Linked DNA regions of Drosophila melanogaster. The gene in region 1 interacts genetically with each later gene. Each region holds a gene or a part of one and is shown in the gene's direction. Other genes may lie near its edges.

Region 1 (4,970 bases):
CGCCGGATTTCCTTGGGGATCGATCCGTTCCGGCGCCATGTACGGCTTGCAACCGGCATCAATGGTTTTGGCAATGGAGTCGACGAGGTAGCCTAAAAGTCAGTCCAATATTAGAATGATTACAGTGGCAAGAAGTCACAGAATGCCAGCCCACCTGAGATGCCAAAGTCACAGATCTTGACCTGGCCGGCCCGATTGATCAGTATGTTCGAGGGCTTGACGTCCCGATGAATGACTTTCAGTTGAGCGTGCAGATAGTGCAGCGCACTGACCACGCTCATGGCAATCTGTAAAGCAAAGGCAGTAGTACGGTAATAGTATAGTGGCGATTGCCCGATAAGATTAGACCCGCCCCCAATCCTCCCCAGCTGACCTTGCCCAGCACGCTTTCCTCCATTCGCAGATCGTGAAGGAAGACCTTCGGATAGAACTTGTCCAGGCTGGTGCTCATCACCTCCATGCAAATCCAGACATCGCCCTCGCGATACATCGCACCATAAAAGTGGACGGTGTAGGGGCAGTCGCTGGATCTCATCGATATGTCCAAATCCATTACAAGGCGGTGCTGTTCTCGAATATTTACGGTCATGGGTATGCGTTTGACGGCCAGGACCGTATCGGTTTGCTTATGGCGCATCTTATCCACGATGCCATAGGCGCCACGGCCCAGATCGCAGATCTTCTCGAGACTATCTGCATCGATGTCAAAGGTCCGGTCGCCAATTTGGATGGTGGCCCGCGAGTCCAGGTTGCGTGGCGGGACTCTAAAAGGATTGCCGAATGTAGTTCAATTCACAATTCGTTTCTGGCCAGGATTTGACCATTTTGACTTACATGGCGGCCTCTGGCTCCTTGGCAATGGTAAAGGGCGTGAGGCGGTGGCGTTTGGACATTTTGGTAGGCCCTTCTATATCCTATATCCTATATGCTATATGCTATATATACCCTCTCCTCTCCACGACTTTCCTTGGTGTTTTCTGGCGGATTCTGCAAGACTTGGCGGTTCGGTGCGAATCGGATGCGATGCGGTGCGGCTATTTTTACCGCATTTGGTCAGGTCAGGATTCGGATGCGGGTCGGTGATATGGGGATCGGATCGGTGTGGATCGTGTGGCCCGGGTTTTGCCGCCCAACCTTTCGCTATTGCCTTTGCTTTCCTTTCCGCACTTTTTGCACTGTTCACCGATCGCTTTTCGCTTCTCTTCTCGTTTTTCTCTCTTTTCCACTAGCGCTGGCCAGCCGCAGTTGGTCCTATCGATATATCCCAACGAGTGCAGCTATAGTATCGTCATACAAATAAATCGAAGTGCCTCGATAATAAATTTGCTTCCACCTGCAACGAATTTAGATAATTAAGTTAGGTATCGATTATATCTATATCTCTTTGTAAGCCTTCTAGAAAGTTGTTCCGTATATTCTTCATACCTATTTTTTAATGTTTGTTTATTTTCTTTAATTTTTTATTTATACATTTATAGACATTTATTTTAAGGGAAAACTTAATAAGTTCTAGCCAAGTGATGCCCATCTTAAGTTGCATTTCGGTATATTTATGATTCTTTTTAGCACTTTGGTCACTCCGTTTTCGATACGTAATGTTGCAAGTTTGACTGAACATATAGAATTCGATGTTTTAGAATTGTACTAAAATAATTTATTATTTTATTAATTAATAAATAGGTAGACCTTATATTATTATTTTAAGTACAAGAACAACGAAGTCTCTCGAATCGACCAATTTGAATTTGAAAAATCTATTATAGTTATATTATATTTGTATGAAATATCCTCTGAAAATTATTCTATCTCGGTAAAATAAAATCCTACATAGTTTTAGATGCCGTTCCTAGTTCGAAAACTGTTTCTGAGGTGCCGATGTTTTGCAAACCATCGATAGGCACGAAAAAAGATATTAAGAATTATCGGCGAAGAACCATCGATGGCTGATGCATCGATGTTTTTTTACATCACTATTGTACACGCGATTTAGGCAGCAAAAACGTACAAAAGCGAGTGATCAAATTGTGCCAGTGATACCGCCGCCCGCGGTCGCGAAACGAATCGATTGCAGAAGTGCGACAAACAGCGCCGCGAAAGGAAAACAACCGATGAAATATTCTCCCAAAAAAGGAGGAAAAAATCGCAAGTTGTTGTTGCCGTTGCTGCTGAAAAAGAAAGAGAGAGAGGGCGCTGCGTGTATGCCTGTGTGTGTGCGTGTGTGGGGGTGAGGATGTCTCTCTCTAATGCACAGTGACTGTGTTTTCCTTTTTTCGATTTTGTTTTTGTGCCCCCCCTTGGCAAACAACAAAAGTCCAAGCAATCCTTTATTTTTGCAAGTGTAAAGTTTACAGTGTATGTGTGCCGCCGAACAACAACAACATCAGCGACAAAACAAACAGGGCGCACAGCAAAACAATTCACACACACACGCACCCTCCCCCGCCTGCGCGCGCTTGTGTGTGTGTGAGAGAGAGGGAGTGAGTGAGAGGAAAATCGAAGAAGTGCTGGCCAAAAAACGGCGAAAAAAATTTAATAAATACCAAAATCCAACGATACTAGCAACTAACTATAAAAAATCGAACCAAATCGACTCGATATAATGTCCACCATTGAGTTCGAAACGATCGGCAGTCGGCTGCAATCCTTGGAGGCAAAGCTCCAGGCGCAGAATGAGTCCCACGACCAGATCGTCCTCTCCGGTGCGCGCGGCCCTGTCGTTTCCGGTTCCGTTCCATCTGCCCGCGTCCCGCCCCTGGCGACATCCGCATCCGCAGCCACATCCGCCACCCACGCACCTTCCTTGGGCGCAGGTTCCGTTTCCGGATCGGGTATCAGCATAGCCCAGCGTCCAGCACCTCCAGTTCCTCATGCGACGCCCTTCGGCAGCGCCAGCGCCTCGTCATCATCCTCATCCGCATCCGCATTTGCATCCGCAGCACCGGCGACGGGCACCTTCGGTGGAACATACACCCCGCCGACAACTAGAGTGTCGCGAGCCACGCCCACACTGCCCATGCGTAAGTCCTCTTTTCGTTAACTTCCTACTAAATCTTTAATATATAAAATTAATTGGGATCAACTAGAAAAACACTGTAGTTACCTGAATCTTTGAAAATCGTTGAAGAAAAATATAACAAAATATAATGTCACAACTAAACTCCATGTACCAGGGAATACTCTAAACCGCTATCTAAAAATGATAGCTTATCAAACTGCGTACTGTAACTCAAAATTTTCCAACGAGACTTTCCCGATTCGAATATTCGATAATTCTCTACTTTCGAAAGTAAATCGTTGTCGAAAAACAGTTTTGGCCGCCAAAAACGTGGTAAAACTTTCCAAGTAAATTTCCAAACGCACAAACAACATTTTTGATATTAATTCGCAGAAAGATCAATGTTTTATCGATCGAACATTAGACAGGTGAAATCTTTATTGATCCTCTGTGACAGGTGTGGATTTAAGCCAACATTTCTCTGACCGCAACTGTAGACAGTTTGTTAAGTGGTAATAAAAGTGGGCTGAGAAAAATCGTGATCCCCAAAAATGGTCACCAAAAATCTATATATACCGTACCGCCAACCGCAAGCCACAAAACCATCTTTTGTCCGCATTTGTGTAAATATTTTGTTAATAAATTGTCATTGCCCAATAAGCTGTGTATGTGCGCGTGTGTGTGTGTACATACATGTATGTGTGCTTAAATTGTGATAAGAGAAGTGCTCTTTTCTTGGCTTTTCCCATTGCTATTGCCATTGGGTTTACTTTGGAGCATTTGGATGCCGCCAACAAAGGGCAAACGCTATCGATTCCCCGACTGCATAACAGCTGCTCATAATCCCCCATTCCAGCACCTCAGCAGCGCCCCGTCAACCCCGTAGCTCTGCCGCTTTTCCCCCCCTCCGATTTCCCGTTCTGTTTTTCCGATTGCATAGATAAGACAGGCCAAGTGCGAACACCAAAAGCGTACCCAACTTGTTTTCGGCCTTTTGTTGGGCCAAACAAAAATAAAAAGAAGTCAAATCTACAGTGGTATTAACAGCTGTGAACCGCGTCAATTTATTTTCGCCTCGATTAGATTAACAATTCCTGGTACCATAACTGTTTGATACATGAACCCCAGAAAATGCCTAATGGGTTTTTGAATAATCAAATACATTTCGATTCGATTAGATTAGTAGTGGTTAATAGTTTCCGCGAATTTCAGGGGTACTTAAAATCACACCCAAATTTTAACAGTGTAATCAGCTATTGAATAGATTTTCAAGTTCGTGGTACATAATGAGCGAGCAAAAGTTAAATGAATAAATAGCTAACAAAATATAACGGTCTATATGTTAATTTATCAGAACAAAATTGGTTTATTAAAGACAAAAGTTGTCGTTATTCGATTATTTATGAGGCTTAAATTGATAGAAATTTTAAATTTTTCATGTAAGAGATGACGTTATTGTGCCCACGGTTGTGAGACCACCCACCGCCTTTTTTCGTTTCTTTTCCCCTTCCTTTTGTTATACATTTAAGTTTTTGCATATTTGTCTTGTATATTTTTCTTATTGGATTTTCATCTGCCATCAAGTGTTGTTATTTATTTACTTACATACTTTTTATTTACTTTTTGCATGTGTGCGTCTCTCTACTCGCGTTTGGTGCTCTCTTCCTCTCTCGCTCTCCGCCATTGGTTACTTTTTGGCATTTCCGGAGTAATGTCTTGATATGCCCGTTACTGTTGTTGTCATTTTTTTTGGGCCTCACATATTCCCACCTCCGCCGCACCCTGCCCACATTCGTTCATCGGACATTGTGCCGTGTCTCCTCTTTCGCATGTTTACAAATAGCGTTATTTTTTATGACGTGCTGTTGTTGTAGTGGCTAATTGTTGAATTGAATTGCTGCCAGGGAAAAAAAAACTTCGCAAACAAAAACAAAATCGCTCTCATTCGCTCTTCCTCTTCATGCACACACACACA
Region 2 (7,755 bases), on another chromosome or scaffold:
CACGTGATATATCTAGATCTTACAATATCATGTACATCGACATACCAGCTCAATGCTGATATATGTACATATATGTTTGCACAGATCATTGAATCAGATTCATTAACACTGCATAAAACCAAAAAGGTCTCAGAGCTTAGATTGAAACAATTCGTCCGATTTATTCCATAATTAATTAAGCTTTTCACAACTGAATTTATATAAAACAAATGATGTAATACAAAAAAGTAAGATACAAAACACAAAAAAGTAATAGAAGCTTTTCAAAAACTATTGTATATACAAATGTACATACATATGTATATGTATATAATTTTAAATCATTGATTTACCATTTCCGAACATTGAAAATTATAAATAAAAATGTGGTCTTGCACAATGCGAAAACAGATAACGACTAATGGGTTAAGAAGTGCACCGGAAGCGTGTGCCATCCGATCCCCGCTCTTACGGCCTGAGCAGTTCTACCTGTGGTTACCTGTTTGTCGCAGACGATTAGAAACTAATTAGCTGACCAACGCCGACATTTGCATCTCTGCCGAATGACGACACTCTTGGGCGGATTTACGATACGGGTCTGTTTGGCAGCCGGTTCGGCAGACTAGTTGTCGCGACGGTGGCTGATCGGATCGGATCAGCATTAGGTTTATGGCTACCCCGCTACCCGTAATTAGAACCCGTACTTAGGCACGGCGCTGACAGACCCCGATCGTCGGTCTAAGTAATAATAAATACGATTTTAATGAAATGCTAAAAGTTCATTTGGCTTATCTATGGGTTTGTCAACGATCCGCCACTTTTCGGAACTCAATTAGCTGCGGCTCGGGAATCGAAGATCGGGGATCTGTTCCATGTCAGTGTCATGAAGGGAGCTCGAACAAAGCAGCCACACAAAGAAAATGAAGCGAAAACCCGGGGATGCGAAGCCAAGCCGCTTACAGTGGTGCCGATTTCAAAAAGCAATCGAGCAACCCCTATAAATCACAGGGGGAGGTTTTAAGTGCACATAACACATAAAAAGAAATAAAAGCAGTGGAAAACACTGCGCAAAAAGTCAAACACGCTTTGCTACTTATGATCGCCATATGTGCAAGGGAAATCGGAACCAAGTACAGTCTGTCTTGGCTAAAAACAACGATGAGATGGTCTTCAATATGGCATCCAATATTCTAAATTAGATACACTATTTTCTTCTCTTTTGATAAATGTTATTAAAGTTCGTTATTTGAGCATTTCAATTTGATATTGAAATTATGATAACATTGTTAAATTGTTAACAACTTTAGACTATATGAACTATTATTTAGTGTTATATCATATTATAAATCATATTTTTGTAAATATTTCTTATGCACACCATGATTATGAGTTTCATACAAATAATTTGTTATAATAAATAAAAATCGTATCTACATATACATATGTACATGTAAAATTGTAGAAATATAATAATTAATTTAATTCCTGTTAGCCAGAGCCCACTGTATCACCAAAACACCACCCCGGGAGAACCTTGCCAAAAATTAATTACACAAAGTAAACAGCGCAGGCGCCCTTAAGTATGCCGCGCATCCTCGCCACGTGAGCGAGGGAGACGGTGCCAATCCGTTGTCCCTCTTGCTCGCCTGCCTGCTCGAACGTGAGAAATCAAGTGCCGCTCGGTTCGTTTTCCCTCAGTTCACGCTCCCGTTCTCAGTTCAAATTCATTCTCTTTCGAATCGTCGACGCGAACGGACGTTTAAAGTGAGAAAAGAAACCGGTAAATCAGAGATCCCAAGCAAGCGCGTGCGTGCATGATAGCGAAGAAAAAAAGCTATCCGTTTCAGTTAACTACTTACCAAGATTGAATTTCGCCATCGGGCAAATTACTAAAAATACATAAGTGCAACTCGTCCACTGTGTGTTGTGTTTTTTTTTTTTTTTTTGGTTTTCGCTGTGCCTTTATCGCAAACAAGAACTGATAAAACTAGAAAATATCTTGAGAAACTTGTTTTCGCGCTTTTCTTTTGCTAATTGCCGATCGCGGAAGAGAAAAACAAGCAGTAGACAAAACAAGTGTGGTAATACAATCTGAAAAGGGCACCATCAGCAGCCCGAGGGGTTTATCTATATAGATGTCGCAGCTTATCATCTCATGCTGTCTGTGAGGTTGTTCTGTGTGCTCGTGTAGTATCTTAAATACATAGAGTGTGTTCATATAAAGTGCGACAAAGCTCGATTGGAAACAGCTGTCGAGTGCCCTTGAGTGGGTGGGCAAGATCGTCATCATCATCATCGTCGTCATTATCAACAGAATCAGCATCAGCATCTGGAGGCCCCGGTTGCTCTAAGATCCCCAGTGTTCATCAATTATGACTGCCGAGACCCTCAAGCCGTTTATAACGCCAACGAGTGCCAACGATGATGGTTTTCCGGCCAAAGCGACCAGCACGGCGACCGCCCAGCGACGCACCCGCCAGCTGATCCCCCTGGTTTTGGGGTTCATCGGTCTGGGGCTGGTCGTTGCCATTCTCGCACTAACGGTAAGTTTTCCTTCACAATCATTTACCCAATAGCAGCCCAATCAGGTATTATTGCCCATTTGGATCGACTATCGCGATTCTAAACACACCAATTAGACTCTGAACTGAATGAAATCGTACTACAAAATTTTCATTAAGATGCTATTAATTGATAACATTGCGTCTCTATCTGCCTACTTAAGATAACAAACCATGCTTAAAGATGTTTAATTAAGGTGGCACAAATCATACTTAGTATTGAAATAATTACAAATAAATAAATAGTATAACATATTTTATGTGTGTTTGAGCGTCGTACAATCTCTTCAGTCGCATTTTATGTTTTTAATGTTTTTTAGCACACTAAAATCGTCAAATGTGCTGAATAGATTTAGTTAATGAATATAATTTGAAAAAGATTAAAGTAGTCACCTCCAAATTGAAATAGCTATTCCATACTTGAATGCCTTTTTTTTTGTTTGTTGTGTGCGATTAATGATTCGTCGGAATTCCAAAGGTGTGGGTATATCAGTTATTGGTGGGAGTTTCCCCAGAATATAGATAGGAATGAGTTGTTATGGGCTATGTTGTTTAATGATATTTTGGGCGCCAAAGTGGGCCAATCATGATTATATGGCCGTTTTAATGACTGTTTCGAAACGAGTGTAAAGGTATTACACTGATTCTTAAACTAGACTTTTGTAGAATTTGTGTTTTATTGTGTTTTTAGTGTTTTATTTTGGTAGTTTAATTTATAATTTTGCTTAGTTATCTCTCCAAAAACCATCACAACGACAGTTAGTTTTATCTGGAAAACAGATTGCACCAATAAAGTAATGAAAGCATAAAAACAGAGAGATTCCATTCAGCCATGAACCGCCTTCTAGACTCTGAACAGACTCCTATTTTTCGGAAATGTTTATTTCAGTAGCTTGCCAAAATAAAATGCGAATAAATATAAATGCAAATTGGACTTTAACAACGTATGTGTATAGACACCCCCGAAATCGCAATCTAAAAATGAATATTTAACCTTTGGCACGCTTCGGCTTATAAAGCTGTTTGTCACAAAGTCTTTGTTGATGCCAAATTAAAGACGAAATTCCGCGGATGCATAAATTGAAATGAAAACAGACTTTATGATCCGTGACCGTCGCAGATAGGTTAACTATAATTTGGCATGAAACTATATTTAGAGCGGGAAAAACGGCGGTTTCTTGGCTGATCAAGCGATGTCATCACCGACACGTCTTTAGGCCAAATCGGTTCCTAATGATCCAGCTAATCCAAATAAAGCGGATGCAGATGCTAGAGAAATGTTTATCGGTACATGTCTGTTCTTCCCTTTTGTTTTTGTTCAACCGATTTAAATGCCACTGAGTCCGTTCTGTTATGCATTCGATAAATCTTCGACTGGGTTGTTGTGTCATGTTTTTCCCTGATAACTTTGCGAATGAGTGTGCTCGCTGAAATCCGGATTTGAATTGCAGAAGATTAAGTTTGTGGACTTGAATCTGGTCCTTCTCTCCCACCCCCATTTCCCCCCCCCTCACCCAGGACTCCTCCATGACCCACTCAACTTTGGCTTAAGTGAACGGAAATCGTACAATTGACAATTGACTTGTAAATGATTGGCTTCAGCCACTGACGTGGGCCTCAAGTTCGGTTTTCCTCATAAATCTCCGTTAAGCCATGAAGCATTTTTCGTTGTTTAATTCAATTTCACTGACATTCGTACAAAGTAACCCTCATCATTTGGGGCCCTCTAAGAAAGTGACAAACTGCAGGCGCTGCGATCGATCTACTGATCGCCGATAAGCTCTAATGGAAAGTGGTTCACTGGAAACTTAAACAAGTTTCTTGGGTCTGCGTAAAGTCCATAATTTATACAAGAATTCAGTACAAGTTGTTGTGTGTACCTACATGTATGTACATGTGTATATTTCCCCGTCTGCGCGTACAGTGGCTTAAGTTGAGCCATTCTTTTCGATTTCGGCTGCCAGTCGAGACTTGAGAAGTGTCCGTATATAAGGCCTCTGCTCGGCCCGAATGTTAATGATCCATTAAGCAGATTATGTGGCTGAGTGGCGATCGTACGTACCCCGCCGTATTTCCCCACGAAATCTTTCTCGTCTCGCCTCTATCAGTTTGTTCAGTTAGTTTTTATATATTTTTCGGGTGTCAAAAGTTCGCGGCACTGGGTGTTATATGATGTGCCGGGCCTTAGCACCAGCTATAGATGTTTAATTGGGGCTACGTTAAATTGATTGCCCAATTGCTAATGAGCGGATGATTAGAAACGAGCCTGAATGAGTGTGTAACAATTGAATTATCTTATCTTGCAGATCTGGCAGACAACGCGTGTATCGCATCTGGACAAGGAGCTGAAGAGCCTGAAGCGAGTCGTCGATAATCTCCAGCAGCGTTTGGGCATAAACTATCTGGACGAGTTCGACGAGTTCCAAAAGGAGGTGAGCAATTGCGTAAATCACTTTCGAGCATCAATATTTGTACTCGGCGATGGGGCAGGGGCTGTAACATTTGCCCCGGGCAAATACAGATACCTCGAATTGTTTACAAAGTCGGAAATGATTGTTATTCCTTGAGGCTGGTACTTGAGTTTTTAATGAGGGTATATCGAACTTTTGTTATTGAGTATCTATTATGTTTAGTTTTCTTTTTGCCTAAAGGGTAATTTGCATTTTATGATGGCAAACTCTGGCTAGGGTATCTCACAGTCGGTAAGCCATGCGCCTGTTTTTGAAAAAGAATGCCTCAAAAAAATGACCAGACGTAATATGTGGTTATTGTGTGGGACATACAAAAATATTTATAGAATTATGTGCTAAAATATAATTTCGACGCTGTTTCATCTGTTATTTGTTTCATTTTTTTTTGTTAGCTGCTTGGCCAAAGGCACATAGAAAATTGTGATAGATTATTTGAATTATAATGTCTCTTTCCGCAAGGAAACACTCATTTCAAATATGAGGCGCCAGCCAGTTCACGTAATTTATGAGATACAAATCCCCAAGTGACAAAAGGTAAAAGCCCCAATAATTCAACAAAAATACTAGGCTCTATCAGTAGATATAGTCGTTCAAGGCGAGCGATCGCTTTTGGCTGTATGTGACGATTGATCGAATCTCATCAAATGGCCTAATGGCCAGAGATGGTTTTAAGATTTTAAGATTTATTTATATTTTGATGGCTGGGCATCTGTGGTGCCAATTCTCTTGAGAGTTTCCTTCGCTTTTAAATATATGTATGATGTACACAAGTATATGTATACGAGTATCATGTTTTTGAGCGAGGCGCCATCAATTAGGATGATGACGAAACAGCCTGTGCTGCGGGCGTGTGTCTAAAAATGAACGTCCCAAATGGATGTGAGATATGTGCCAGGACTGTGCCAGCTGCAGTCACGTACTTGGCCAAGTCTTCTGACCCAAAATGCTGATGCCCATCCCTTCGTTGCAGTACGAGAATGCCCTCATCGACTATCCAAAAAAGGTGGATGGCCTCACGGATGAGGAGGACGACGACGATGGCGATGGTCTGGATTCCATTGCGGACGACGAGGACGACGACGTTAGCTATAGCTCTGTGGATGATGTTGGCGCAGACTACGAGGACTACACCGATATGTTAAATAAACTCAACAATGCACATACCGGCACCACGCCCACATCTGAGACCACTGCTGAGGGCGAGGGCGAGACGGACAGTGCATCCTCAGCCTCAAATGATGACAATGTGTTCGATGACTTTACCAGCTACAATGCCCACAAAAAGAAGCAGGAGAGGTGAGCACGGATGAAATTTTCAGGGATTTATCGTATTAAGCCTCTGCTTTTCCTCTTCACAGAAAATCTCGCTCGATTGCCGATGTACGCAATGAGGAGCAGAATATTCAAGGAAATCACACAGAGCTTCAGGAAAAGTCATCCAATGAGGCAACTTCCAAAGAGAGGTAAGTAGAACGTTCCGTTGAAAACAGGCAAGAAAAACCATTAATGAAGTTATATGCTATGGGTTAAAGATAGATAGTTAACTGCGTAACTGAAACACATATGTATACATTTTCTTTTTACTTGAAGCCCTGCACCACTTCACCACCGTCGCAGAATGCATTCCCGCCATCGCCACCTCCTAGTCCGCAAAGGTGTGTAGTGTAGAAAAGCGAAACAATTGGCAAAAATCGAATACCAAATCTCTATTCGCACCTCTGTTAATTTGCAGGTGAATCTCTTCTTTCAGCCAGATCCGAGGACTCGAGGCCAGCAGCCCATTTCCACTTGAGCAGCAGGCGGCGTCACCAAGGAAGTATGGGTAAGGAGATGCTTCCGCGTCAAGCGTGTACATACAAGTACTACAGGCAACCTAATGAAGTCACTTCTTGAATTTCTCAGGCTACCATGGAGATATGTACATAGGAAATGATAACGAGAGAAACTCTTATCAGGGACACTTTCAAACGCGCGATGGCGTCTTGACGGTGACCAATACAGGCCTATATTACGTATACGCCCAGATATGCTACAACAACTCGCACGACCAGAACGGATTTATCGTCTTTCAAGGAGACACTCCATTCCTGCAGTGCTTGAACACGGTGCCCACCAACATGCCACATAAGGTGCACACCTGCCACACGAGTGGTCTGATCCACCTGGAACGAAACGAGAGGATCCATCTGAAGGACATTCACAACGATCGCAATGCAGTTCTGCGGGAGGGAAACAACCGAAGCTACTTTGGCATCTTCAAGGTGTAAATTGGAGAGATTATCCCCGGTCAGAAGATGGAATACCAGTTTAAGCTTTTGTCCCCGCGACTGCTCGTGAATGCGATTCATCGCCAGCGTGAATCCATTAGTTCGTAGTACCTAGTCTTAGTCACTCCAAACCTAATCTCAATCGGAATCGTGCATACTGCATTAGTCAGAAGACGGAGGAAAATCATATTTATTTTGTATATACTCGTTCGACTCTAAAAAGTGAATAAAAATATATGTAGCTATTACCCGCTTGTGTAAGCGTGTTTAAGAAACATCAATTGAATCAATTGCTACCAGTTGCAATTGAAAATATTATAATCTTCTAAATAATGAATATTCGTTCTTAGTATAATTCGATTCAAAATGCTTCAAATGCTTTCAATTCAAATCTCAAATGAAGAGCCATTCAAAGATATCCCTCAGCTTTATTTGTGCAATTCCAGCTTACTATGGTCTTTATTAAAAATTTTGAAT
Region 3 (4,072 bases), on another chromosome or scaffold:
TGACATTTACTTTCTGAGCATCCAGCTGCAGGTCCTGCAGGACAGCCAGTGATTGGGCGGCGAATGCTTCGTTCAGCTCGTAAAGATCCACTTCCTCACGCTTCCAGTTAATCTTTTGAAGCTGAAAAATGTGAAAACTTAGGAGCATGTATAGAAGTGGAATTTCCGTGTAACTACCAATGCTTCCACAGCTGTGACTGGTCCCAGTCCCATCACCTTTGGCTCAATGCCACTCTGAGTCCAGCCCACAATCCTAGCCAGCGGCTTAAGACCCTTCCTGGCCACCTCCTCGCCGGACATCAGTAGTACGGCAGCAGCGGAGTCGTTGACGCCTGAGGCATTGCCAGCGGTTATAGAGCCGCCCTACATAAGCAAGAGAAAGTGGGTTAACTCTCGCTCTTCTTGTATTTATCTTAGACCCACCTCTTTGAAGGCTGCCCTGAGCTTCTGTATACCCTCGACGGTGCTGCCCGCCTTGATGTACTCATCCTTGCTGAATGTGGTCGTACCCTTGCGATCCTTGATCTCCACGGGCACAATCTCCTTGTCGAAGTAACCCTTTTTTTGGGCCTCCTCGGCTCGATTTTGCGACAGCACGGCATAGGCATCCTGGGCCTCACGACTGATGTTATACTTATCGGCCAGATTCTCGGCAGTGATGCCCATGTGTATGTTCTCCATGGCATCGGTTAGGCCGTCGTGGATCATCGAGTCCACCATAGTGCCCGGACCCATTTTGACGCCCTGCCGCAGATGCATGACGTGTGGAGCCAGGGACATGCTCTCCTGACCTCCTGCCACAACAATCTGTGCGTCTCCCGAGCGGATGGCCTGGTAACCCAGCGCTACAGTTCTGGAAATGGTAAAAACCATTGTAAATGTACGGAATTGTACGGGACAAACTCACTTTAAGCCGGAACCACATAGCATGTTTATGCCGTAGGCTGGCACCTGAATGGGCAGACCCGCCTTGAGTGAAGCCTGACGTGCTGGATTCTGACCCTGACCGGCGCTTAGAGCCTAACAAAGATATTTACATAACAAATAGATCGGTAAGATAGGAGGAGAAACAGTTATGATATGGGTCCCACCTGGCCCAAGATGACTTCGTTGACCTCCTGGCCCTCCACATTCGCCCGCCGGAGTACCTCCTGGATGACCACGCTGCCCAGGTCGGAGGCCTTCAGTTTAGAAAGCGTTCCATTGAAGCTACCTGTTGATTTTTCAGATTGGACAAACACGAAGAGAAAGTTTCCAATTAGAATGTGGTTATCGTGTATGGTGCAGCCGATTTATCTTGGTTTTACCAATGGGCGTGCGGGCGGCGGACACGATGAACACGTCAGACATTCTGGATGGGCAAGGAACAGGTGTTATTGACTTGGCTATTGAGCAGCAAATAAATTCTAATTTTCGAAATTGTATTATTTGCTGCCAGAAGTGTGACCAGGTGCAGCCAAAGCCCAGAAGCTGCACTTCTGGGGCCCAGCCCTACTAAAAACAGCTTGTTCTCACTTCAAATCACTGACATAAACAGGAAGACAATGAAATTATATATTTTGTAATTCGGATTTAATTATAAGTAAATGCGAAACTTAAGGGTTTTATGTTTGCTTTAAGGACGAAGCCTTGAAATAATTTACAAATCTTAGGGTGACCATTTCAATGCAGTTTTAATTTGTTTTAGTATTTTACAGCTTTCCCATGGTAAATTTGAACAGTCCAGCCGCGGTCACACTGCAGTACACAGAAAATTTACTTTTTTTGTTGAGAAAATTAGGGAAATTAACGCACAAAACGCGAGTTAAAGAGGCCCAGAACGTAAGGCGCGATCATCAGTCGCCCCGAGGACCACAAGGCACTGGAAAAGGAGTCGCGCTTCCAGAGATAACCCCGCAAAAGGACCCACGCAAGCAACAGTCCTCCGCCGCCGCCCCAAAAAGAACCAAAAACGCCTGAAGAAGAAGCACCCCCGCAATCAGAAATCTGCAATCTTCAATCTCCAATCTCTAGGCACATAGCACTCCAGTCCAGAAAGTCGAGGAAATCGAACCATGCAGGCGATCAAGTGCGTCGTCGTGGGCGACGGAGCCGTGGGAAAGACCTGCCTGCTGATCAGCTACACGACCAATGCCTTTCCCGGCGAGTACATACCCACCGTGTTCGACAACTACTCGGCCAACGTGATGGTGGACGCCAAGCCCATCAACCTGGGCCTGTGGGATACGGCCGGGCAGGAGGACTACGACCGACTGAGGCCACTGTCTTATCCCCAGACCGATGTCTTCCTCATCTGCTTCTCGCTGGTGAATCCGGCATCGTTCGAGAACGTGCGGGCCAAGTGGTATCCGGAGGTGCGCCACCACTGCCCCAGCACGCCCATCATCCTGGTGGGCACCAAGCTGGATTTGCGCGACGACAAGAACACAATCGAAAAGCTGAGGGACAAGAAACTGGCGCCCATCACCTATCCGCAGGGCCTGGCCATGGCCAAGGAAATCGGAGCGGTCAAGTATCTGGAGTGCTCGGCCCTGACGCAGAAGGGTCTGAAAACCGTTTTCGACGAGGCCATCCGGTCGGTTTTGTGCCCCGTGCTGCAGCCCAAGTCCAAGCGCAAGTGCGCCCTGCTCTAAAAGAGTTAGACAGTTGGTCGGTGGTGTTCCACCGACGGACTCTGCTTAAACGTAATATTATTAACTATAAAACCATTATGTAACCTAAGCGTGGCCAGGCTAAATGGCTCATCCGTAGTTTCTTTGTTACAATTTTGCCACTAATTTCCGCTGCTAGGGGGGGATTCCCCCAACCCAACCCAACCCAACTCTTGCTTTTGTTTCGTTTCCGAGTTCTGAGTTTGTTTCGAGTGTTCTGTAATTCATAATCCAATTATTCTGTTTATTCGTGCATTAATTTCAACTAAAAGTTAAAAGCGAGATGTTTCTAGACGAAATGGAGAACTGTAAACTCTAACTGTATTTTGTATTATTTAATAACTTTTGTAATTAAAATTAATGTTGTAAAACTGAGGTAAAACCAAAAACAAAACAAAACAAAAAAAAAAAAACAAACGAAAAACCTAAAAAAAATGTGAGACAAGTACGAGAATAGCCGCATAATGAGCATAAAGCATAGATGTCGCATAGATGTTGATCGAAGGTCCTGCGGAAGGGATCAGGATATTGAGTCAGTAAAGTAAACGTTCCATTGCAATTACACTTACATTATTACATACTTGTATTTAGATGTTGTTGGATATCGAAGCGACGGCGCGGGCGAGTAACAACTTTTTAAACTTTTGCTAGATCCAGGAACTATCAATATATATACATGTATGTATAAGATGAAAAGTCCTTCGTATACTATGTACTGAATTAAAGGCATCAAACTGAGCAACTTTGAATACTTTGTATTTTAAACGACAGATATTCAAGAAACAAAAGAAAAACAAAAAACATGAACGAAGCCAAGATAATTATATAAATGTGTCTATTTCAATGGAAATCAATAAAGCATAATAAAAGGAGTTTTGGTTTATTTATTGTGATATGTTTCTTATATTCTTCTGACATATCATATGTAGTGAATACTAGAAAACGATCTGCGCATATTAGGGAACTATGAGTGGGAAAGAGCGTAAAACTAGTTTTAGCTAAGTCGAATCACTCATCGAAAAGATATCTGAGTGCTCTTTTCTTCTCCAAGATCTTCGCAGCACCAGCACATATACTTACTTACATAGCTCACGCATTCAAATATTCTTGATTGTTTATCAAACTCCATTCGTCAATGGCCGACATTGGCCCTCGCTCGAGTGCTCACTGTACCCACAACGGAGACAGACTTATCAACGCCGAAGAACGAATTATTTTGCTTATCTCGGCGAAAGTCGAGAACCGAAAATAATCTAAATCAGCTTGAAACAAAATAACCGATTCCCGGAGCTCCTCACTTCTGGTTCTACACCGAGAAAGAAGTATTTATGGTTAGCATGAAAATAAAATATAAATATATAGAAGTAAATAGAATAAAAGCATTTTATTGAACATGTTGCAACTAAACTCTAAAATGATCT

Evidence for each region. Genes that interact genetically often act in the same process or in processes that back each other up.
Region 2: of hep (region 1) and egr, changing one suppresses a phenotype caused by changing the other (phenotypic suppression), as found in Drosophila melanogaster (4 studies listed by BioGRID).
Region 3: of hep (region 1) and Rac1, changing one suppresses a phenotype caused by changing the other (phenotypic suppression), as found in Drosophila melanogaster (3 studies listed by BioGRID).

The regions. Positions count from the first base shown.
Region 1 is NC_004354.4:13,087,406-13,092,375, reverse strand, and holds the start of hep (hemipterous), read left to right. Parts: upstream 1-1,941; 5' UTR 1,942-2,599; coding exon 2,600-3,017; intron 3,018-4,970. Other genes in the region: lic (licorne), read right to left, coding at 1-92, 155-287, 374-764, 835-893. UniProt on the Drosophila melanogaster protein: Required for the epithelial cell sheet movement called dorsal closure (DC), which allows establishment of the dorsal epidermis. Controls the expression in the dorsal epithelium edges of another dorsal closure gene, puckered (puc).
Region 2 is NT_033778.4:10,076,661-10,084,415, forward strand, and holds egr (eiger), read left to right. Parts: upstream 1-1,705; 5' UTR 1,706-2,351; coding exon 2,352-2,522; intron 2,523-3,952; exon of another isoform or gene 3,953-4,034; intron 4,035-4,127; exon of another isoform or gene 4,128-4,264; intron 4,265-4,527; exon of another isoform or gene 4,528-4,665; intron 4,666-4,846; coding exon 4,847-4,972; intron 4,973-5,592; exon of another isoform or gene 5,593-5,662; intron 5,663-5,981; coding exon 5,982-6,307; intron 6,308-6,369; coding exon 6,370-6,474; intron 6,475-6,601; coding exon 6,602-6,666; intron 6,667-6,743; coding exon 6,744-6,833; intron 6,834-6,913; coding exon 6,914-7,278; 3' UTR 7,279-7,550; downstream 7,551-7,755.
Region 3 is NT_037436.4:1,300,329-1,304,400, reverse strand, and holds Rac1 (Rac1), read left to right. Parts: upstream 1-1,717; 5' UTR 1,718-2,054; coding exon 2,055-2,633; 3' UTR 2,634-3,522; downstream 3,523-4,072. Other genes in the region: Acat2 (Acetyl-CoA acetyltransferase 2), read right to left, coding at 1-121, 178-363, 424-853, 908-1,020, 1,092-1,213, 1,308-1,350. UniProt on the Drosophila melanogaster protein: During various developmental processes, regulates changes in cell morphology in response to extracellular signals.